2 linked regions of the Schizosaccharomyces pombe genome follow. Changing the gene in region 2 together with the main gene of any one other region gives a genetic interaction. Each region holds a gene or a part of one and is shown on either strand. Other genes may lie near its edges.

Region 1 (18,248 bases), on a different chromosome or scaffold from region 2:
ATTCATCATTGAGAGCATCAACAGTCGATGAACGCTTACCACGACGTCTACGTGGCTTTTGCTCTTTCCTAACCTTCCTTGGAACTTCAAGGTTTTCTTCAATCGTATTTGGCTCTTGCTTCTTCTTAAACGTAGGTAGATTATAAATAGTAGGTTCCTCAGCTTCACGTCCGATTTTGGATTCGTCAAAGTTTTCAAATTGATTTTCATCCAAATCCGATAATTCATCTTCAGAGAAATCAAGGGCTTCTTCCTTATTATCTAAATCTTCATCCACATGAGTTGTAACATCAGCAACGTCTACTTTCGTATCAATGGTTTGATCATTCTCGGAAGTTTTTGCCTCAGATTCAACTTGCATATTTTCAAGCTCAGCCTTTTCTTCTTCTGACATCTTTGGAGAATCAGAAATTTGACAACTTAATTAGAATTGGGAGTCTGAAAAAATTTCAACGTTTACTGCCGCCAATATGTAGAAGTAATGAAATAGAACTAGCGTAGCCTCCACCATTGTTCAAAAACTGTAGATTTCGGTAATGCATGTATACTGTCAGCAATACTACACTACGCTATGATACACTACTTGCGTATCACTATATGTCACATGTTCTAATTATATATCGTACCATGTATGATACGATATGGAGATTGATCTTAATGATAATCTATTAAGATCTATATTATCTGAATACTATAAATAGAGCTACTGCTGAACCTCGTTCCTCAGTTCAGTTATGAGCTATATTAGTGATAGGTAACATCATAACCTAGTTAATACAATACCTATATCCAGTTGCTACTTATACAACCTGTGTATTGTAATATAATAGATCACAAGGAAAACTTACCGCAGCTCTACGTATCCTTAAATCAGATACCAAACTGCGTAGCTTACAATATAGTGACAAACAACATGATATAATTAACGATGTCTAACGATGCGAGGTGTACCATTCAAGCTATTCTCTGTGTCGGTGAATGTTCCAACTTATTCCAGCTTCTGCCAAACACACAAGCTCTTTCTCGAATAACCGTTAATAAACGTACTATAAAGATGTTTTCTGGTGCAGGACGCCCTAGTAAAGAGCAAATCAAGCAGTATGATAATTTGGCTGTCGGCGTATGTAATTATCTCTCGTATCTATAGCATATTAACGAAATGGATAATTAGGAAATGAAAAAGGGTGCCTCAGTTGCCGCTGTCTTGTTGTTAAGTAAGCTTTTTTAATTGTAATGGTTTCACTTGGTTTTCTAACTTTTATATAAGCTCCTTTTGTTATTTCTTTTTTTCAAAAGATGCGAGCATAAAAACATTTATTCCAAGTGTTGGCTTTTGTGCTATAAAAATGGATGGTTATTGTACGTCGAATACAATTTTATGATCGACTGTATGTAAATAATCAGACAATTTATTTTTACCGTTCTTGATCGAGTCGTAAATTTTACATGAGTGGGTTGAATTATTTGATTTTGAATGTAAAGTCACTAAAAAATGGTTATTATAGAAATCGTTCATGGATTGAACTGGTAGCTAAATGTGTATAGAGAGTTCATAGATTTCCTGTGCGATGCTGCGCCGTTATATGTAATTTTAAGTCAGTAATATCTTTTGGACCACTTGTCAATCAATTGACTCCCAATTAGATGAATTTCTTAAAAAAAATTCGGTTACCAGAAAAATAAAAAAAGGAACCTAACTATGATTTTCATGTTGGTCGTTTCTAATTTAATTAAATACAGAAAATAACGTGAAGTAGGAATTACCGCTATTTTTGTGATTGAGGAACGTGCTCAGTTAATTGCTTGTTCAACGTCGCTAAATCTTCTTGCATCAGTTTTACCACATATGAAAGACCAACTTGATGATCCCTTAAGACGTCCGTAATGACTTCTAGTTGATCAGAATTTTTTCGCCAATCCACTACTCCCTTAGCCAAATTACTTCGCTGATCTTCAGATATCTTTTCTCCTTCAAAAATAAGAGTAATTCTTGCCCATATTTCGTTGAGCCGACCAAAAATTTCAGGATTATTTAGCGATTTTGTTAAATCATCTAATTTTTTACGTAGCTCTTCTTCATTAGGTTTTAGTGCATAACCACGATGTCGTAAAACATGTACTTTAATTGCAAGTCGTAAAATTCTTTCAGACAGACGGACGTGACGATTTTTCGCCTCGGCAAGTTTGATGCTAAAATCAAGGTCGTGTTTGTTACTTAATCTTCCTAAAGTTTCAACAATTTCACGCATCCGAATACGGTACGTGTTCACTTGTTGAATCTGCATATTAATTCTTTTTTGTACATCGGGGAATCCTACGGCCAAAACGGGAACAACACTGTTGCTTGGTCGATTAGCAACAGCTTCGTCCCATTTTTGTTGGTTATAATTTGGAGGCTTAACATATAGTGCAGCTTGCTCAACAGGAACCTTGTTATAAAAGAACCGCTGAAAAGCACAATCAGGATGGTTGAGATTCCATGCATTCAAGATTTTCTGCACTTGCTCCTCCACGGACGGAGGTTGAGCAGGGCCATATTGAGCATTGCTCACGGTCGCATTTGGGGATATACCTGAAGACAGCAATAAGCTGCTAGGGATCGTAGCATTGGTTTCGTCTACTGGTTTTGTGGGATTGTTGACTGTACTCCACGAAAATAATGGTTGCGTATTTGAGTTGCCGGTTCTTGATGCAGCGTTTTGGCCAAATACAGTACTTTGTGGGGCATTGGTGGTAGTATTGGAGAAAGAAGTGGTCGGCTGTTGTTGTGTTTTACCGAAAATTGAATTTCCAAACGGTGGAGCTGACGAAGAACCAGTAGGGCCTCCTGCACCTACATTAGTGTTTGTGGACCCAAAAATAGATCCAGAACCGAAAGGTGCAGTTGGTTTTGTGGTATTCGACTGGCCAAAAACGCCAGTTGAGCCAATGGAAGGTGCCTTTATTGACGACCCTTGTTGACCTACAGTCGTTAGCAACTTATAACTGATGAATCTCAAAGCATACCAAAAGAAAATGCCATAGCGATTTTGCAATTCTTTTACAAGGGAAGCTTGGCTCTTAAATTCTGTCTATTTGATGGGTTGCAAAATCTAGAGTGAGTGATAGCTATAGCTTCACAATAAAGTCAGTCTGCGGTTAAGTTCGTTAAATGATGCCCTATTTTCAGGAAAGCTACCCTATAGCAATTTTGAGATATATTGCGTACTACTTTATTCAATTTACTCTTTCCTTTGGAATTCAAATTATTACTGTTATTCTCGAGATTTATTGAAACTTCAAATTTTGAATTAAATACCCACAGTAAAATTTTTTTTAGACAAACTACAGCATATTTTTCAAGTATATTCTTAGTCAATTTCCTATAGCAATTTGTAAGTTAATCTCTTCGTTAACTCCAATAAATTTAAATTTGCTTTATTTGAGAGCAAAGATATGAATTCGTATTACATTTTAGTAGTTTATATATACATTTACTGCATTTTTAGTCACTTTGTTTGAAAACTGTAACTGCCTGACGAATGTTTACTTGAGGAGTATGTTGAAACCATACTAACTCTTAGAGCCGCGGATTTCAGTTGGAATTTTAAAAGCCTTCGTGGTTCGATAAAATTCAACGTTCAAATTGATAAGTTTTTCAATCTTCTATTTGAAAATCTCTTTCTTTGTTCTTTAGAATATGAATGAGTAGCATGTTACTTACAATAGTCGGTCAAAGTGTCTAAGGTATACGCTCTCATATACTACATTAGTTGCACCAGACGAAGTAAGCGTATACTTGCAGGATAAAGTTGTAGTGTTATCGTGTTTCGAATAGAAGTGCTAGAATACACTGTTCAATTGCGGATTTTACTTGTTCAAAACATTCGTTGTAAGATTTGGTATCGATTCTGCGTTTTACGATTGATCGTCAAATAAACTAAAGTTAAGTATCATTAAAATCTATGAAATAGCTTGTAAAAATTTCGTTTAAAGCGCTTAAAATTCCTGTTATGGAGTTTCGATATGATTTTTCAGATTACAAAAAATCAGATTTCGATCCAAAGGCGCAGGCTGAACGAGTGTTAATCTCTGTTCATGCTGACTCCGATGTTAACGAAGACAAAGAAGTCGCCAGAAAGAGGTTGGGGTATGCACTCAAAGAAGTAGAGCGGCAAATTACCGATTTGATTGTGCATGAGGAAACCACGTTGACGAAAAATGTATCTAGTTCTTTGAATGCTCAGTCATATTTGCAAGATATCGAGGGAAAACTAGAACAATTGATGTTGGTTTATGAAAGAATTCGTTCGCTGGTAGTCATTCCATCTGAAAATTTGGGTCCCCTTCATGAGGCAATTGTAAATTTGCATTCAACATACATGACTTTGTATTGGCTTGGGGAGTTTTTTGGCATACAAGCAAAGTTATTTCCCCTTTTCCAGGGATCGATTAATGAAAATGAAAAGTATGCTTATTGTTTTGCTCAATGATTTTGGTATGCTAACAAATTCAAGACTTTCACGCTATTATCAAGCATCTTTACTATTACAAGAGTCTGATCAATTATTAAGCCGGTTTCCATTAATGGTATGAAATATATTTTCTGTTTCTTGGCTAATTATTGTAGAAAAGACAATCGTCCGTTTCTTTACTCTTAAAACTTAATATAACCAATCGATCGAGAATTATAAAAGAAACATCCAGCTATCTATTATCACAAGAAGATCAACTTTCTTTCAGTGTGAACTCTAATGGTTTTACAAATGCTTGCTCTGTTTTATATATGTTAGACAAATATTTGTTAGAACAGGACTTAACTCGTCTTTTAAGTTCTCGTATACAGAAGGCCATTATACAATTCGACTCGATTTTCCAACTGTCCCCCACTACACGAAGACTCCTACATAACAGTACAGATCCTTCAGCGGCAAATTCTACTATATGGTCCAAATTTGAAGACGGGTGGTACCAAATTTCAAAGATTGGTGCACAATGCGTCTTTTGGGAAAGGTCACTTCAAAAGGCTAATATTTGTAATCCAGACTACCCAAATTTATTAGAATATTTTCAAATGCAACCAAATTTTATCCTTGATGGTGCAACTATTTGTATCTATTTTTTCAAAGAGCTGGCAATTTCTATCAGCAGCAAAATGCAAATGCTTGATCGCCGTGATCCAATACTCTTGCGGGTATTCCGAAGCGATTTTCAGCGAGTTACGCATATTGTGGAACAAGCTATTGCCAGGTCATCCTCCGAAATTGTAAATAAAGATACACGGGAATGTTCAATTGTAATGAATAGCCTCCGAGTATTAGCACCAAAAAACCCATAGATTAATAATAATTATAATTTATACATAAAATGCCTCACGCTTAATCGTTTTAGTATTTAAAAAAAAATCGCAAACTTAATCAAGAATGAAATAAACTCCTGATACTACTTAATCTCGCCGAAGATCGCCTGTAACACATTGTAATGCTGCGGGGACCACCTGACCACTTTTGAGAAAAAATAGTTTCATATTGCGAGCCTTATCTTTCAACTGAACTTGATTGCGATATTTCAAAACTTCACTCTTTTTGCCTCCAGGACCATAAAGCTCCAAAATTTGGCTCCACCGGGGACCTTTTACTAAATCAAGACCATCAAGCAATGCTTCCTCTTCCTCTTTTGTCCAAGATCGACGATTGGCTACGCGCCTCGTACGCTTGTTATTTAGGTTATTATTTGTCATATGTCGAACCTGATCATAAAGAACGACACTGGATACATTTTGTGTTTCCGAGGAGCCGTCAAAAGTTGAAGATGGTATACCAAATGCGAGACTATCGGTCAGGTCTGAACCAGATTCTGAAGGGGATGATTCGGCTTCGCCAGCCTTAAACCTCAATCCGTTCTTCTTGGATCGTCGTTTGAATGAGTTAGCAGGAATTGGAATGGCCGAAATAGACGAGTAATTGTTATGGATGTAACAAGCAATCTCGCTTAAAAATTTCCCCCATGGATATACTTCATTTAAAGCTTCCTGTGGGGAGAAGTTTGCCAATCTTTCTTTTCTAGCCGTACATTTCTCTATGATTTGCTTTTCAACATAAGTAAGTTTGTCATCCAGCTTAGCATTTCGTCGGATAAGAAATCGATGGGCCATGTCAGAGGGAAAAAGATCGTTTAATATGTCTCCCTTGGGACGTTCTGCCTGAGCCATAGCCGAAATATATGCTTGGGTTTTGAGTTCCATATAAAGAGTGCCCTGATTAGTGAGGATATTAGATTCGTCCGGAGCAAAAACCTCCAGAAAATTTTCATTCAAATGAAAAAATCCAATTTGTAGCGCTCCATAGACAGCTGCCAGAAAGATAGCAAGATTTGCGCGTCTAGTCGTACTTCTTTGACTCGGCGTCCTCATACCAATGGCAGAGGAATAAATAAAAGATTCTTCAGTATAAATGTCCTTTACCATACGAAACATATTCATTACTTTGGTAAAGGCCATACCCATTTCGGAGGCTGGATTAGTGACAATGGCAGATGCCTCTTGTACTGGCTTCCCAAGAATTGACAAAATTATGTTACTAAGGTTACCAAGAGTAGGAATAAGAGATGTACGAAGAAGTTGCTGAGGTGTAGCAATAGGATTAGGTTGGTTGAAAGCGTAATCCATGCCTTGATTCATGCGTAAATAAAAGTCCGGCGTCATATTAAATTGAATTCCGGAAAGATCAAACCCTAAAGGAATTTCTGCATTTGGTGCAACATTTTGAGGCTCGAGTTCAGAATTTTGTTCTGATAATTGTTGTAACATTTGGCGATCTTGTTCGAGGGCAGTTGATTCTGGATCAATCGCTAAGCGTTTTTGACCCTTAAAATCATCACTAGGGTCTAAGGATCGTTTTGACATTTTCTTGGAAATCGTAGTTTTTCAATTGATCAAAGAAAATACAAACTATAGGTGAGAAGCAGTCTGATTAATCGATTGCTAAACAAATCCAAGGAGCAACGATATCCAGTGACTACCGAATAGTAAATCTTGCATCAAAAGTTCCAATTCTTCTTTACTACAAGGTTTTTTAAAATATATCCTTCCAATGCAGGCAAAGTAACAACCAAATGCGAGTTTTCAGGTATTTGTGTGTCAATTGATTAGGACAGCGTATATTTAATTGACTCGTAATAAAAAATCTCTTGCATATTTCACTTCATTGGCGTTCGTTATTTTTATTAACGAATTCCAATAAGCCAGATGTGTTAAATACCATTATATCGTTGTATTTCTTTACTAATTTTATCAACATTTCATTCCTTTGTAGAAGCGATATCTGGACATTATTAACTAATGAATAAGCTGTAACTACTACTAGTAGTTCCTACATATTAGATACAAAATCCGTCTAAATTGGCAAAACTTTTTAAAAAAAAAGACCAAGTCTGTATTGCATCTATTTCTCTATTTCTCAATTGCCTTCTTGTATTTTTCGTTAGCTGTGTAAAATGCAGTGGCGCTTGTTTAATTTACGAGATAGAATTCTGTGCTAAATTAGTTCAAAATGAATAAATACGGTTAATGACAAAGAATTATACGATATAGACTTATTTAACAACTGGGAAATTCCTGTTGAACATATATGCTTGCAATATTAAAATTCAAAACAATCGTATACCACGAATTGATGCCACCAAGGTCTGTTTCATTGAAAGATGGAATGTAAAACGTAGTTCGAAAAAGTTGCATATTTCATCACAAGTGCTTACCAGCCAAAAAAAATTCAGTCTATCAGTTTCATAAGAAATTTCAACAGAACAATCTTGTGTGTCAAATTTTTATTCAGATACGTATTTCTTATTCATGCCAAGTATCACTGTAGTAGCTGGGAAATTTAGATGGTCCTAATCCCTAGAGATTCTCCTTATTCACATCCTCTTACATCAGTATCCAAACTATCCATAAGGCAACAAGTGATGAGTACTATTACCTTTTAGTAGTAGTATTTTTACATTAGAAAGGCCTCAAATTTTTATATATTGGGTTAAATTGTACAGTCCGCAAATAATTTAATTACATTTATTTCGCTAACATAACCCGTATAAGCACGTTTCATATTCTTGACATTATTGTGTAGCCTCAGGAATCGCTTCCAACGTTTATTATCATGGATTTTTTTTGGGAACGAATGTTAAATGATCCTCAAAACCATTTCAGTGATGACCAAAAGGAATTTCTAAATCATGCAAAATACCGTGTCAAAAGAAATACGATTTTTGGGATGCTAGTCGGGTTTTCTCTCCCATTATACTTAGGTATGAGATTTCGAACAAGCAATTGAAAATAACTTTCTTATTTTTTAGCTCGTAACAAAAAGGTTACTCCAATCCGCTTGTATGCAACATCAATTATAGGAGGTCTTGCTGGAAATGGGGTAAGTTTTAAGTAATACTAAGCTCAAGCTTACAAATTATGAATAGGTTGCTCAGATTACTACTCTGGCATACAATTTGTCGGCTATACGTCAAAGAGATGATGGCTTTGAAATACTTCGCAAAATACAAGACTCCCTTATTCGACAAAGAACAACGATGCGACAAGGCAGATTTCCTTCTTCATCTTCTGAATTCCCTCCAAAAAACTCAAAATATCAATTACCTGGAAGTATGCCGAATACTGGTGCCTCTTCTAGTCAAGATCCCTTTACGAATTCACAGAGTACGGAGAAAGAGGACGCCATGTACTCTAAAGACAATGGCTTTGAAGATCGATCAAAGCCAGCGTCAGCATGGGAAGCTATTCGTAACCGTAATCGAAATACCGGTAACAATTCTTTTCCATTTTACGAAGAAGACTCGAGTGTTAAATCCACAGATAGTGCTTTTAGTGGACAAGAAAATTCTGAAGCATTTCCTTCCCGAACTTCTAATCTAGGCTCTGAACAGTTGGATGAACCTATTTCTCACGAACAGGAGGCATTTGATCAATTGATCTGGAATGATTCATCGTCTTCCAAATAATTTCCTTTATCTCTACATGTTACGATAATTTAAAATTAATTTTTACCAATTTGAGTGTCACTGAATTTATGATGTAAAGTAGTTAAATTTAGTAGATATTTCTTTTTTTCTATACTGCATTGCCAGATTGATGTAGCTTGCTTGAGCAAGCAACTTATGTATGTTCATGCATAAATTTCGATACATTTCAGTCTTTCAAAAAGAGATAAATTTAAATTCATATTTATGATATACATCTATACGTGATAGGTTTTAATAGCTAGTCTTGAAGATTGATGTGAAATAAAATAGGGATAGATTTACTGGTATAGCAAACCAAATAACAACTTTAAAATTCAGATATAAAAAAAGAACGCAAAGTAAAAATATATATAAAACGCCATGAATCAGTCTGCGTCGAACCAACCCAATCTACTGTCATGAGTATTGTTGTATGCAGTGCCGCCCACCTAGCTACCACCAACTTCTCATTACCATAAACCCATAAAATGTCATTTTTTGGGTTTAATACTACCCTTCCAAAGGAAAATATGTTTCCTAACGAAGGGCAGTTAGAAGAGGATGGGTAAGTCGTTAATATTAATGTAAATATGATACTTTAAGCTCACAAGTATATTTAGCATTGACTTTGAGGAGACCTACGACGATTTGGGTAATCAATTAAATGAAGCCGGAGATGAACTAAACGACGAGACTTTTGGTGTTAGCGCTGGAAGTATAGGTATGTACCTTTGTGCTTGTGATTCTGTAATCATTCTCGGCTGTCATATCTGGGATATTGCAAGCTATTAGTATTTAATATTTTAATATTTTTTCTCACAATTCTAGGACGTGATTTTGATTTTTCAGGTACTACCGCTCAAGCATCTGCACAATTGGAAGATGAGCAGTACCAAATTAATCAACAAAATATTTTCGCTAAACCTGTCAAACCAGCTTCTTCAGAGTTACCTCAAGTTAGTAGACTTAATGGTGCTTCACAATTTCCTTCACGGGAACCTGCGTCTACTGCGATCAATAAGCTTTCCGATTTGCAGCCTATGGCTTCGATTTGGGAAAATATTGTTCCAGAAAAGCCGGCTATTATTCCACCTGAGGTAGCCTCTCTTCAAGATCGTTTGGGTGCCCAACCATCTGAGAAGGTTTTTAGCTTGCAGGAGTTGGAGGAACAGTTATTGAACTCAATGACCGCTCCAAAACCACCTTCTCAACCCGCTATTCCCATTGTTCCATCCGAAATGGCTGCTCAAGTAACTCGAGAAAACATCTCTTCATTGGACCCGGCGATTAGTGCGGCTAGTATTGGTAATGTTACTTTTGGTCAACCAAACATCCCTAGCACTACAACTGATTTTGCTGGATTAGCTGCTCCTAATATGGTACATCCTTCGCAAGCTATACCCAATCCTGTTATGCAACCTTCCCTTGTACCTCAAATGCCATATCCTCAAAACGGCATGTACAACCCAAGTGTTGCTCCTCCTGCTTCCCTTGTTAATCTTTTCCAGCAGGAACAATTAATTCAAAACCAGAACCTTGATGAAAAACGTCAAAAGTTAGAGCGTGATCATATGCTCATGGCTCAATGTGCTGGGTTAATGACACGCAGTGATAAATCGTTTATTGCGAGAATTCAAATATCGCAATTGATGTCGGAGGATCCCGAATCTGATGATTTTTATTATCGCGTTTACTCAATTATTCGAGGCCGCAAGCCTTCCGAGGAAGAAGCCAGTCATTTTATACAGACTTATCTAGGACCTAGCAATAATCGCCGTCGTGGTCGTCGCTCCGAAAATCCTATGCAGAAATTACAACAGCAACTTCAGCGTTTGGTTTCTTCTGCCAAAGAGCGCCCTAAGGCAACTCAGTTGTCTTTAGAAGGTGCTCTTGGTAAAATTGCTGTTAATACTGTTCGCACACCACGACAATTGTTGAATGTTAAACGTCCTACCGAACCAGCATCTTCAAATTCATCATTAAACAATTTTTCTGGATTTTCTACGAAGAAGGATGTATTGCACGCTATTGAGAAAGTTTATGACTTGTTGCTTGACTTTGAGCAAGCCCTCCGTAAAGCCTCAACGCTAGAAACTACCGATCAGGAGCAAATAGATACATGGAAAACTACTTTAAGCGAGAAATTGGAGTCCATTTGGAAGGCATTATACATAAATGAATCATTGGAAGCATCTTCTAAGACTAGGCCTCCATTCATTTCTATAATTTCTCACCCCAAAGGAATGAGGCTGCTACCTCGCTTGTTCCCACATTTGTCCAAAGAGCAACAAATTTCGATTTTAAAGGTCGTAGTTTACAATTTTGATTCTCTTGATATAGTCCTTAGGGGAACATTTGACGTTAACGGTGAGCTGCCTTTGGACGTTGTTTCCGAAATGAGTTCTTTCACGCAGTTCATCATCCCTCCATTGCTCACTATTGTTAATGAACTTGATTTGGAAACTATAAATAACTTATTTTCTCAACTTCTCAATCGCACTAATGCTGTTTATTTAATACAGACGAAGATTGGTTTGTCGTTCCTTACTCTATTCATTAGTCGCGCAGAAATTTTAAAGCAATCTGGCACTGTAAATCAAAATGAAAAAGAAGAATGGTACGTTATACATGTATTTACAGCATCTAACTATTTAGGGAAAATACATTCAATGTTATGTTTAATCGCGTAAAAGGTCATTTCTCGACGGTATTCCCACCACCTAACGCTCGAGCTTATGCTGATGAATCTTATCCATGGGAATTCTTAGCAGCTTGTGCTACTGCTGCTAGCTCTGAACAACATTTTACATTGGTTTCTGAAACTAGGTACGTTAAAATATGTCTAGTCGAGTTTTTGTACTAACAAATATGTAAAAAATAGGGACAGAGTACTTGATAACATCATTACTAGCAAACGGGCACCTTCTGAAATTGCTGTTGTGCGCATCAGCAATGTTAATTTGTTTTTAAATGCAATGGGGCTCGACGCTCGTCAGCTCAGCGCTTAAGTTTGTTTATAAGATATGCGGGTATTTTTTTTTTCAAAAGCTATATTTGCTGAGATTCCTGGATTCAGATTTATTAATTAGAGTATTCCCTGCTACTTAAAAAATGCATACGCTCTAATATAGATTTAAGTAAATTATGTCCTTTTTGAAAACGCTGAATATGAAATAAAATGTATTGAACGAGAAAGAAATTAATATAAAAAACGATAAGTATATAGACAAAAAGTTTATAGCACATATTTAATAGATTTGTGCATCAATAATACTAGCTGCCATTTTGATTCGTAGTTCAGGCATATCATTTTGACTAAACTGAACAGGAACATTTCTAGATACACATTCAGCAGTTTTACAAGCAAAAACTCCACAATCATGTCCATTTCGTTGTCTTGGAGAATTGTCATCCATAAAATTTTCCCAATCTGACACGTCGACGGCACCTTTTGTTTCTGCAATATAATAGTCGCGCAACAAATCAAAAACTTTACCAGGGCTTCCGGCCAGCGAGTCCCAGTATTCAAATCGTTTCTTCGATTTGTTAATAACAGCCATACACCAGTGGACATCCAGATGTACTGGTATAAATACAGCATCCATATCTGCAATATTAACGCGTGCCTTTTTGGCCCATCTTCGAACACCCGCGTATCCACGGCGCTGCAAAGATGTATAAAAAAAAGTATTAAACCCATGTACCCGAGGTAAGGATGAATCAATTTTAGAGCGTTCCGAAATCAAATTCATGTAAAAATTAATTACCTCGTCATTTAACCATTGTCTATTCCGCAGAGTATGCAAGTCTTTAAGCGTGATTGGAATATTAAATTTGGTGATGATGGGTTCAGAAGAGGAAACAGAATTGCTTTGGTTTAAATATTTCAGTGCACGCTTTCGAGCATTATCAGGAAACTCAAGTTCCGGAATGAACTTGGGGCGAGTGGGGGGTGGAGATATTTCCAAACCTTTTAATTGTAAAAAGTCAACTTCGTTCCAATCTTGAAAAGATTCTGTTTGCTTTTCTTTCAAATCTCGAATTAGCAACAGTAATGATTTTTCATTTTGGATATCAGAAGTAACGATATTCCGCGCTGGTTGCTGATCAGATTGAACGAACCTAAAAGAGGCTTTCCGAGACGTTGAATCATGAGGACTTTTCTTTCTTAACGTAGCCGTAAAAGGAAGGTGTTTATATCTGGCGTGTTCGCTAACAACATCTAGCTGCTTGTCCGGTGTAACAATGTCAGAGTTTGGATTTGGAGAGGAGTTCGTAAAGTGCAGAGGAGAAGAAGAGAAAGGTGTAGGATTAAAAGAGTTTATTTCGTCAGCCTCAACGGAATTACCGTGGGATAATGTCGATGAAGTTGTTTCCTTAAAAACCGCAAGCTGTAACCGATTACTAACAGATAAATTTTTGGAAGACCGATGAGGTCGGGGGAAGTATCTCGAACGAGACACACGAAAGCTTGATGGAGATAATGCTTCGTCATGGATGTTTTGAGAATGCGTGTCAGAGGCAGGGGAAAATAGATTTTGAAGAGCAATGGGATCCAAAAATTTTTCATCCTTACTAGAATTTGTATATGAATGAGAAACGGTAGGTTTACTATTTCTGTCAAGAGTATTGTGAGAAGACATATCAGATTCGACCGTCACGTAACCACGTTCAGTCTTGGAATTTATGTGAGAAAACCGAGATTCAGGGGCTTTAGTAGAAGGCTCTAGTTTTGAATTTGTACTATTACTATTAGATGGTATCGCCTCGCCAGCGATGCGATCCAATTCAGAAATGGGAGTTTTTGTCAAAAAAAGTTTTGCATAAGTAACTGTACGAGAACAAATATTAACAAACGTGTTCAAAAATGTCTTTTTACGTTTCCTTTGATACTCTTCATATGTAATACAATCATCCTGACGCGTCCTTTTTGACGCATTGCGTTTTCCTATCATTCACGAGTGAATTGTAAAGGGTGAATCGCGAGAGGCTGTGACACACAACAACCTGGAAGGATGAGCGCGTTCTTGCTTACGTTGTGAAAATACCTCGTTATACGAGTATTGCGGTATTTACTGTAAACAAACTACTTTTTGTGTTTATATTACAATGTTTGGCTTTCGAGCCGCTAGCTTTGCTTGTAAGATTTTAAATTATGTTGCTTAACATGTAAGTGTCCGTTTATCTTTAGGGCCTACTGTGTTTGATTTCATTACACTAAAATCCTACTTCAATGTGGGCTATCACTACTTTTAGCCGTGAGAAGCTTACAAGTATATTAATGTAAATTAAATATCATATTGCTTTTATAAAATATACATTCATGACAGTACACTGTGTTACTCTTTTAAGCGTTTAATAAGTAAGTGGTAGCGTATCGCTACTAGTAAATTGTTTTAAGTTCTGATATATGCCCTGAAAATGAAAAGATAAATCGGAAAATGTGAGTTAGTTTTATACAAACCATTTAACACTTCCTGAAGGGATCTTTGAATGAACAGAAAGCCCTATATTCAGGTTATCCTTCAAACAATCATTATTTCCTAGATAGAAAAGAGTCGTACATCAGCAATGAATTTCCTCAATTATCGCCGGGGTTTTTTATCATACTACGGCTCATATAACTATCAAAAATTAGCATTACCAGTTGCTCTTGATTCTTGTTTTTCTCGATTTTGAATTTTTTGTTATGCATTGTCTGTTAACTATGCGTGAAATATCTGTTCTTTTAGAGATTCGTTTGATTTTTAGTAAAATAGTATTTACTTGCTTTATTTCCCTTTCTTCTGCTGCTCAATAATCTGATATCTTGCTATATTGTTTTCGTTTGAATTCAGTCTCTCTTCTATATTTCGTATATGTATGTTGCGATCAATCGTGTGTTATGGTTTCAAAAATTCAAAAATTCAAAAAAAAAGCCTTCTGCTGTAAGAATAAACATATTTTAGGCTTTCGTAAGTGAATTTTAAGTTGAAAATACCAATTTCAAAATTAGGCTATTAAAGTCATTTTAGTTTTTACTATTGTAATCAAAATGGAACTTTTTTACAACAGATACTAGCTTTAGATGCTTGGCTATCAATTGTAGGCTTTTGATTTTAATTCTATGGAATGGAAACAAAAGTACATTTTTTGGCCTAAAATTAGATTTTTATATAATAAAATATTATTAATTTCATTGCTATAAAAAGTCACTTAGCAGTGTTTAAGCGAGTGCTTAAAAGATTTTATTTAGCTATCTAGATCTGACATTGCTGCACTGAACCAACCTGTCTACCATTTGGTAGATTCAACTTCCCATAACCAGCACCAAGCCAGAGGAACTCACTAAATGTAAGAGCATGACATCCCCGTGTACGCTAATACGGCAATTTTCTCCTTTGGAGATACGTCCGTTACCACATTTGGATTTCCAAGCTGGATTTAATGGGATACCAACTTCAGCTCCAAGGTTGGTTGGTATCGTCCAAGTTCGAAGTAAAGAAATTCACCAACCTTTGGCTTTGGTTCAAATAACGTTAGAATTATGGAAAATTGAATCAGTGGTAATACCATCCTTGGGTATAAGTAATCACTTATCAGATAATAAGTGTCTGGCAAGGCAGGTTTTGTTTCCACTTCATTCCGAGCATCCTGAAAATAACATACCTCCTAATGATAATAATTATTCTATCAGCGATTTGTCTATCAAATCACCTCCACCCTCCCTTACTAGCGATTGGATAGTAGATTCTTATGCGTCTGATCAGGATAATCCTTCTGTTCATACTCATAACCGTACTACTCCACCTATCCCTCCACCTCATCTTCCTAATGCCTCTGGATCTTCGGTATATCAACCTCCTTACACTCCGTTTAGATCAGTATCCACCACATCTTCCTCTAATGACACATCTATCACTCCTTTTGGTGACCAAACTCCTATACTCTCTTCTTCTTCAGATCCTTACGCTACTCATAGGGTATGGTCAATGGACCTTCCCTTTGAAATCCCGTTTCCCGAAAATTCAGAAATTCCATCGACTTTTGAATTGAATCGGTCTGGTACAATATGCTCCACGAAATATGAACTACGTGCTCACATGAGTTTACTAGGGGTACCGGATATTACTACCACTGTACCAGTGTCACTCAGCAGGTATGATAATCTATCTTCTTGGGGGATGTATAATTCCCCTACTAATATTCGGCAAGTGAGTAGCGATGGTCGTGTTGTAGTAGAGGTATCAATACCCAAACTGTGTATTGGACCTTCGGATCTCGTCTCCGTCTTCGTTTCCATCATGCCTAATAATGGTTCTAAAATACGAGTACAGCAACTTTCTCTTTCCTTGGTTGAATACATCACGTTCATACATCCCTCTTCTTCAAGCCCAATAGTTCGTAAAAAGAAAGTATTACGTTACGAAGAAGATTTGGATGATATGAAACTTACATCGGAAGGTTTATCGAAAAGCCTTTCTAAACCTTTCCCCGACATTGATTTTGAAGATGCAAATATCACTGGATTCACGACCACCTCTGATCTTTACTCTGTACAATACATGCTAGTCATCAAAGTACAATTATATCGTGCTAGAAACATTGAAATAACAAACCCAATTATTGTTTCCCCAGTGGAACGATCACGAAGTCAAGCCTTACTTAATGAAATTCAAACCCGAGTCCTTGACGTTCGCCAAAGCCACGGAGGCGTTGTCCTCGAAGAAAACGTTAGGATTGTGCGAGCTTCAGATTTTTCCAAAAATAATATGTTTGCTTATTTGAATGATGACATTGTCCTGTTATCTTAGGAAGTTACATTTTTCAAGCTCAATCTGTGCTTTACTACAAATGTAAATCCCGATATTGTTGATCATAAGCCTTACCTCTGTATTTCCCTGTGTTTTTCGATATTTGCAAGCCTTTGGTTTGCAATTAAATACCCACTTTGTTTATTTATTTGTCCCTCGTTTTTTTGTTTGGTTTCAAAAGCTATGAGTAAAAATAATGGTCTTCTTGTTTTTGTTTTGTTTTAAAAAGTATTCCTGTTCTTCGACATCAAATCAATTTCTATTGAATATGTCTTCATTGTTTTATTTATTCACTAGATTTAGCAAGTGGGACTTTTGGTCACTATTTGGTTGCTTTTTTGTACAACTGACTATTTATTTTAAATTGTGTCAACAGTTTAAATCTCACTTTATTCAGAGTAGGTTTTAGTTTAATAAAAACAGCTTTAAACCTGCTTATATAATGTACTACTTTCCTTTTTTATGTGGTTTGAATATCACATCGGCTGCACTTATGTCGGCGTTTCCACTTTCATGTATGTGGCTTTGAAAGTAAAGATGTAGTAAGCATTTAAATCTGAGTAAGGCTTAATATATATAACGATTGCATTTTGTTATCTAATAGCCCAGTATACGGTTACACTCTTAAATCAGTTACAATTTTATTAGATATTAAGCTCATTGTGAGTAAAATTTTTCCACACCTCTTCCTTAAGTTTGTATAATCCATTCTTATAGTAGTATAACCAGAAGTAAAAGTTTAAAATATTAGCAATTAAATTTCTTTTGAGGAATGAAAATACGAGATCATTATCAAAGCGTTTAATACCCACTTAACTTTCCATCCACAAAATATACGTTTCAATCCAGGTATTAATATCTATATATTATTGACTACTTTATCAGGAAAAAAGATCAAACATCTTTAATTTTTGAGATTTCAGAAGCTACTGTACCTTATGCTAAACAAATGTTCTGGCTCTTTAACACTTTTAGCTGTTAGAAGATTTTGTGGTCCTTGCCGACGTTTACATTATCATAAAGATAACCCTAATAACATTAATATTGCTAAAAATCTCCTGAACAATAATATACAAGCTAGATGCTCAACAAATGAGGCATCTTGGAAGTTGGCACAGAAAGAATTAGATCTGAAAATACGTGAATACGAACAAAAGTTAAAGGATGTTAAGCTAAATGACATAAACAAAAAGGTAAAATATTTATTAAATAAAGGGTTTGAGTACAAAATAACACTGCTAAAAGATACTGTCTTGTTTACTAACGTTAGCATAGTCTCCCCTTAACATTCCTGATGAAGTTTGGACTAAATTTATATCAGAAGTTAACTCTTATGATAAGGAAAAAGAAAATCATTTATCTACAGGTAACCACGAATTGAGGAGAACAACTCCATTGAAAATTGGACCACTTCTACTTACGAGAATCGGGCTATTGAAATCTAAGAACACAGCCAGCAATAATTATTCA
Region 2 (7,140 bases):
AATTGCAAAGCAGGAGTGTCTTTTAGCTAGTGCTTAAGATTTAAATAAAGAGGGAGATTTGAAAAAGAAAGAGACGTACTTTTTTACAAGTTTCATAAATCTATAGTCATCGATTACTGTAATGAGGATCCAAATAAATCATGATTTGTACTAGCCATTTAAAAACAAGAAGGGTCTATACATACAAGTCTTGTCTATAAACCTTAACGTCAATATTAATAAATGGTCCAAATTTGAAGAACAAAAATCATTTCATTTTAAGAATAAAAAAAGCCCAGACAACTTCACATCTCTGAAAGTGTACTGAACAAATAAACCATCTTTTAGATTTTTTAAGCAGGAGGTATAATGCACCCTTGTTAAACCACTGAAAACAGATAAGCATGTGTAGTTAGATGATGAAGGAGTTTCCAATTACACCGTACCTCGGATATGTGTTTGGCGTATCATGCATAATTTACTGACCCATGTATTTGGCATTGAACTCAGCAAATCTTTGACCGACACGTTCAGAGTGTTTTAAAAATTTGTCGGCACATTTTGCAATACATTCAGACTCTTTGTTGCTCAACTTGGAGCTGGTGAAATCTTGAACACAATCTGAGAAGCAATTTTGAGTCAAAGTAGAATACATCTATAATTCATGTTAATATCTAATCAATGAAAGCGAACATTTGGAAGAAAATGTGAAGGTTGGAGTTGAGAATGCTTCAAAAGACATCTTTATAATGGATATAAAAAACTTAAGGCAATCCAAGATTAAATTGAACAAATAAATAAAACGTTTGCTTACTAAGTTTTTTCATTCAACTATTTAAATAGCCTTCACAAAACTTAAAACCACACATTCTAAAATTCAAGTACATACGTTAAGATATTCCTTTAATTGCTTAGCTTCCAAAACTTGAGTAAGGTGCTCCTGTTCTTTAACGTTCAAACGATCCATTAAGGCTGTATTCTACTTGAAAACGTTGGATCAAAGAAGTGGTGGGTTACTGATTGAAGCAGCCAGTAAACCATAGTGTAAGTGAAGTAGAAGTGAACTTAAAGAGTTACCAATTCCAAAATGAAGGCTATATTTAATACTTTTATCTACTTTGTTTTAAAAAATTTTCAACTTTTGAGAATATATATACACTCTCTTGCCCTTACTTAAATTTGCTGAGCAAATTTCAAAGCTACCAGCTTATAGATTGAAAGCTTTATCAACAACAAATTGTTATTAAATTTTTACATTTATTCCATAGTAATTTACTGAATGAATTAATAATCACAGTTCAAATGTACCACAAAAGCACAGAGAAAGCATTACCATAACGAAATGTTGGTGCACCACTTTGTAACGGTTAAGCAATATTGAATTACTCATAAATACTATCAATTTTATGCGACCTGTTTCCGGCGGTACAATGGCTTGCTTGTATTAATCATGTGTAAACGAACAAGTTTTGTAACTTTAAATGTCAAAAAAACATCAGAACAAAATGTTTGAGAGTCGATGTTATATAAAAAACGAATGTAAAAGAAAGGATTATAAAAAACTTCACTCATCTTGCAAATAACCTTCATATACACAACAAATTGAAAAGGAGAGCAGGACCCATAACAATTGTCGTAAATAGAAGTTAAAAACAAAACTAAGCTACGCTTCGGCTTAACCTTCTTTTTTTTCTCTCCAAAGGATAACCATTTTCATCAACATGCAAAACTACATTGGGAAGCGACATCAAACCAGGTGTCGGCTTCCAAGCCAAACGTCCATGAAGTGTAGTGTCTCCATAATCTACTATTTTATCGTAGTAGTTATATAAATCATCCCAATTATGTATATTTTGGAGAGGGGCATCATACACGATCCTACCAGTTTTTTGATATGCTAGTTTTACTGCTTGTAAACGTGCTTCTGGAGACCAGGGTGTTTGAAGCTGAAGCGATTTCCTAATTTCGTTAATCATCTTAAGTGAATCCTCCCTGTTTAATGAGGGTTCTGCGAATTTTTCAAACAGCTGTATATCCTTCCACTTTGAAACTCTCTTTTTAGGAGGTATCACGACTTTCATGGCAGCCATATCTTTGTCAGCAATTTGCTTTTTTTCATCTTCCTTCGTTCCACGAAAACGATCGCGTATTCTACTTAACCAACTTTGGGAAACGGTAGTATTATGAAATGATCGGTGAGACACACAAGAATTGAGGTAAATTCGAATTGACGGGGTTGTAAAATTTCTAGAAAACATTATCAAAGGCTATTATGTATCATTTGAAAGTAAGAAAGAGAGGATTGCAATGAAATTTGAACAAATTGGGGGATTAGGAAAGGTTATAGAGAGGCAATTAACGAGTAGTAGGTGGGTTTGAAGTTGTGGTACTTTGCAGAATTTCATTGAAATTAAAAAGTACGTTCCTTTTGCTTTTGCTATAATTAATTATATTATCCTTACTATCACTTTTCACCTTTCTTTGATTTTATCGGGTTAGGACTGAATGCCCAAAACAGGCTAAATCTTGCGTTACAAATTTAAGAGCACCGAAAATATTATTACAAAAAGATATTGTATAGTATATTTACTTTTTAGTATGGTGTAATTTTGATGCTGCAAGAAATACAGACCATGTAAACGATCAATTGACATACTAGAATAAGACGAAGTAAAAAAATGAAATGCTTTCCCTATATATTTACGAACTTAAACTTGAGGGCTTATTATTAAAATAACAGCCTCACAAAAGATTCAAACGAGACTTAATTATATGAAAGCACGATCGTTTAGCAGACTTAATTAGGCAAACAAGCTAAGAAATCATCTTCGCATAAACAAAATTAAAAATATCAAGAAAAAACTGTAAAACCCGGCTTTTTGTGAATGTAATCATTTAATCAAAGAAAGATATTAAACTCAGCAAGTTGAGTAAACAGATGACATCGAGTTAAGCAATCTACTTACTTTTTAGAACTCGTAACATTAATTAAAATACGATGCACCATTCCAAACCCTTAAAAATCCTTAATTATCTCCACTGAAAATATTCAACCCAAGTCGTCCAAGACATCTTCTGCGTGCTGAACAAGTTCATTTACAATTGAAATAAAGTTATCCAAAACGTTGGAAGCAGAATTAAGGATAAATCCCTCTTCATCCGTCTTCGATTCTGACGACTTACCTTGTTCAGCAAAGCTGACTACCGGCTTAACGTTAAGAGAAAGTAATTGTGATTCCAACTGTTCGTTCATCAATCGTAAATTGTAATTAGAAATTTCAAGGTCTTCAATCTACAAAAATAATAAATGGGTTAGTATGTACTCCTTTTACATATTTATTCAATTTTCGATTTGCACAATCCTCATTCTTTTAAAGTATTAAAAATAGAGTGAAATAATAGTCAATTGATTAAAATTTACACAGATTATAATGAGTGTTCAAAATTAATAATTGTGCTTATGCTGTTTAGTACCATACATTTCGATTCATTCTAGCATCTAAATGTAACCAGCGTCCTTGCTCATTCGGTTGTGAATTTTTCCAATCCTTCATGAATATGGGTTTTTTAGGAGATTCATTCCCATTTTCTAGGTCTTTTTTGCCAAAATCATCAGCATCCATTTCAGGAGGGAGAGAAAAAAGAGAATTGAAGCGGTAGCGAAACGGATTCTTAAATCATCAATGCAATCGCAAACAAGCATAAGTAATTGGGGGTTTTTTTTAATTCTATTTTGTTATAATATTATTAAAAATGAATCATATACAAATTTTATTACGAAGAAATTTACATTATTTCATTTGATTAACTAGGATCTAATACATTAGGCATAACTTAAAACATTCCTCAAGTTAGGCTGTAAATTGAAGAATTGATTTGTCAATAAACATACTCAATGACCAAAATATATTAGCAAATACAAATGTAAATGAGTAATAAACAAGCTGCATAGCAAAATGTTCGGATGAAACCTCAAAACAGTTTTTTAAATTAAATTGTTATAGAATGGAGGCACCTATACTCTCTGAAATTAATCATTTAAGAGTAAGAACAGATAGAATAAGCTAGAAACGCATCATTTATAAAGTTTGAATATCTAAATTTAATGGGGCTAGCTTTTCATGCATTCCGCATCGCGAGTGATTTAAAAAAAATTTTCAAATAACAAAACATTCCTTGTACTTGGTAATTGACGAAAATGTTCATTCGCGTTCCGCCCAACACTGCTGGATATCAACGATATGTGAATTGCATATCTAATTTCAAGACTTCATCATCTTAACAAAATATCAATGTATGAGAGATTAGAGAAAAATAAGATTGAGATAAATGAAACAGAAAAATAAAAAGTCAATTGAATCTGCACTATTCCACCGCTTGATTGTTAGGAATTTGATATACCTTGTGCATTGAATGCTTGTAGAAAGGGCCATCTACTATCCTTTTACTAATCATTTTGATTGTAGCGTTGGAAAAATAGAGAATCTGCAGCCAAAACAGCCCTTGCTTAATTACTTGAGCAAAAACAGGTTCGCTCAATGTTAGAAAACGAAACGCTTTTAAGCACAATCATAATAAAACGAAGTAGAAAACGTCTATGTATAGTATTAGGTGATACTATTGTTAAAGAGAGTGGTTTATTTGTTTTAAAGCATCAAAAAATAAAAGTATTGAAAATTAAAAACTTATCACAAACGTTTACATCAAAATCATTCGTACATATACATTTCCATAAAGTATCATAATAATATTTATTGAGCCTTTATATTTATATAAAATCATCAAGTAAATTTCTTCATCAAAACTATGAAATTGGTGGTGAGGACATGCTGCTCATGTTACGTAAACTCAGCTCTTAGAATTTACCAAGATACCTACACATTCATATGTAGCAATATTTAATCTCTTTCCACTCGATTATACTTGTAGATACAATATTGTTGAACCTGGAAATTGGAGGGACTTGACTAATCCAAATTGGACTGTTTAGTAGCTGCAGCGAACATCGTAGGATAAGCTTGGTATTTCGTTTTAGAAAATCAGAATGGCTACCAAAGTTGAGGAAATAAACAAGCTGAAGAAAAAAAATCTTCATTTTCGACAATGCAGTGCTGACAGCTTGTCGAATTCCTCAATGCAGTTTGATTTGTCGGGCCTAAATACACCGGTTGGAGAATTGGCAACTTCTAACCTCCCTTCACCCGCTCATCCTCCCTTTGGTGAGCTTCATCAAGAATCTAGGACTTCTAATTCCTCTGCGATGCATATAGAGAATGTGGTTGCTTCCAGGCTTATGTATAATGAGGTTGCGAATGGCTCCTTTGCCTTGGAACCAAAGAATATACTAGTTGTAACGAAACCTCGAAAGCATTCGTTAGTTTACAAGACGGCAGAAATCACAAAATATATACTCACAATCGGAACACCGGAAACCAAGGTATATGTGGATATGAGACTAGCTCGTTCCAAGCGCTTCTCTGCTCATAACATCGCTAAAGAAGCAAATACCGACATTGACCGGATCAAGTATTGGAATCCGTATATTTGTTTGATTAAACCAAGTATTTTTGACTTAGCTATAACAATTGGCGACAACTCTACATTATTGTACACATCGTGGTTATTTCAAAAAATTGGGCCACCTGTTCTTTCCTTTTCCGATGATGATGTCCCTGGTTTTTTGACTCATTTTAGTTTATCTAACTATCAGCAGCATTTGTATCAGGTCTTAACTCAAAACGTGTCACTCAGGTTTTGTTCGCGGCTTCAGTGCTCTTTTCATAAATACGATGAAAAAACTAAGCAGTATTCTTTGGCTTCCACAACATACTCTCTTGATGAAATACTCATTAGTAGAGGAGAACATCCATTTATTAGTAACTTGAATGTTTACAACAATTCCGAACTTATGACTGTGGTTCAAGCTGATGGACTTGTTGTAGCTACTCCTACAGGATCCACCAACATCTCAGCGAATGCTGGTGGTTCTCTGGTACATCCTGCACTAAATGCGATTTTAGTAACACCAGTTTGTCCTCATACGCTTTCTTTCCGTCCTATTATTTTACCAGATTACAATGTTTTGAACGTTGAGATCCCTTTGGATTCTCGAAGTAGTGCATTCTTTTCCGTTGACCGTCATGAATCTGTGGAGATGCATAGAGGCGACTATTTATCAATTGTTACGTCTCATTACCCTTTCACAACCATTCAAAATCCAGGATACCAATGGACCAAGGTATTAGAAGATAAATTCAATTGGAATGTGCGTGAGCGTCAAAAGCCCTTTTCTAGAAAACCAAGCTTGAGTGATGTTAAGGATACAAGTGACGATAAATTTGATATTACAGATAATTCCTATTGCAGAGAATTTTCTGCAGACATTGATGGTTAAATTGCTATCCATTTTTCTTTTAATGACATCTGACTACTGTTGAAAATACTTAAAATTAGGCACACACTGCCTCTACGAATCATGGCGAATTATTGGTTACGATTGTTTAGATATCTGTTAGTTTTTTGAAAGTTTATGTTAATTATTATTATTATTATTATTTCAACTTTGGTATTAACGAATTTATATTCATAATGTTTACTCATTGTTCAGTTCATACTCAAAAGCCGAAAAAAAAAAGAAAAATGAATGTTAAGGATCCCTCGATAAATATGTAAAATATTTTTATAACAAAAAGAACGTGTGTATATATAACAAGAAAGACATTCGTATTATGCTCTGTAGTCTTTGATTTTCAACAACGACCTATGGTTTATGGCTCATGAATAATACCAGCTTATTCGCTAAAAAATTAATCAGTCTGTGCAATTGAACGTACAATGCGATGTCCAGCACTGGTAATAACCTTAATACGTCCTCGCCTTTCCAAAGCACCCAGACAAGCTTCGAAATCAGAAGCATCTAAGCGAGTAGAACTCTGCTCACGAAACCGAGTTAACAATTGACTGACCAACATAGTTTTTCCACCCACAGTTAAATTTGAAATTAAATTCGCCAGTTCTTTGACCATATCTTCAGGTACCAAAGTCTCTCTTTCATTAACATAAATTAGGTCAAGAGAAATCTTTCCTGTTGCAGGATCAGTTGCATAATCCTTAATAGCGGTCTTAATCAAGCGAGCAGCTTCAAGAACATCTCCTACCTCA

The links.
Region 1: mutations in SPOM_SPCC24B10.02C (region 2) and tbf1 together harm fitness less than expected from each alone (positive genetic interaction), as found in Schizosaccharomyces pombe (one large-scale study listed by BioGRID).

The regions. Positions count from the first base shown.
Region 1 is NC_003423.3:2,362,809-2,381,056, reverse strand, and holds tbf1 (DNA-binding factor Trf1), read right to left. Parts: upstream 7,133-18,248; 5' UTR 6,884-7,132; coding exon 5,426-6,883; 3' UTR 5,318-5,425; coding exon of another isoform or gene 4,610-5,317; 3' UTR 4,570-4,609; downstream 1-4,569. Other genes in the region: transcription elongation factor complex subunit Iws1, read right to left, coding at 1-394; TOM complex subunit Tom5, read left to right, coding at 1,055-1,120, 1,172-1,214, 1,268-1,308; nucleoporin Nup44, read right to left, coding at 1,767-2,962, 3,007-3,022; COG complex subunit Cog5, read left to right, coding at 3,993-4,447, 4,497-4,569, 4,610-5,317; SPOM_SPBC19G7.18C (uncharacterized protein), read left to right, coding at 8,133-8,280, 8,329-8,399, 8,446-8,985; pdc2 (topoisomerase II-associated deadenylation-dependent mRNA-decapping factor), read left to right, coding at 9,474-9,550, 9,606-9,706, 9,814-11,602, 11,641-11,811, 11,867-11,993; SUMO deconjugating enzyme Ulp1, read right to left, coding at 12,234-13,940; arrestin-related substrate adaptor for RhoGEF, Art1, read left to right, coding at 15,327-16,778; PPR repeat-containing protein Ppr3, read left to right, coding at 17,717-17,971, 18,054-18,248. UniProt on the Schizosaccharomyces pombe protein: Binds the telomeric double-stranded TTACAGG repeat and regulates telomere length.
Region 2 is NC_003421.2:902,783-909,922, reverse strand, and holds SPOM_SPCC24B10.02C (NAD/NADH kinase), read left to right. Parts: upstream 1-4,836; 5' UTR 4,837-5,023; coding exon 5,024-6,373; 3' UTR 6,374-6,640; downstream 6,641-7,140. Other genes in the region: Tim9-Tim10 complex subunit Tim9, read right to left, coding at 458-634, 869-946; protein Mrpl50, read right to left, coding at 1,638-2,237; SPOM_SPCC24B10.03 (uncharacterized protein), read right to left, coding at 3,029-3,271, 3,459-3,602; mcm4 (MCM complex subunit Mcm4/Cdc21), read right to left, coding at 6,786-7,140.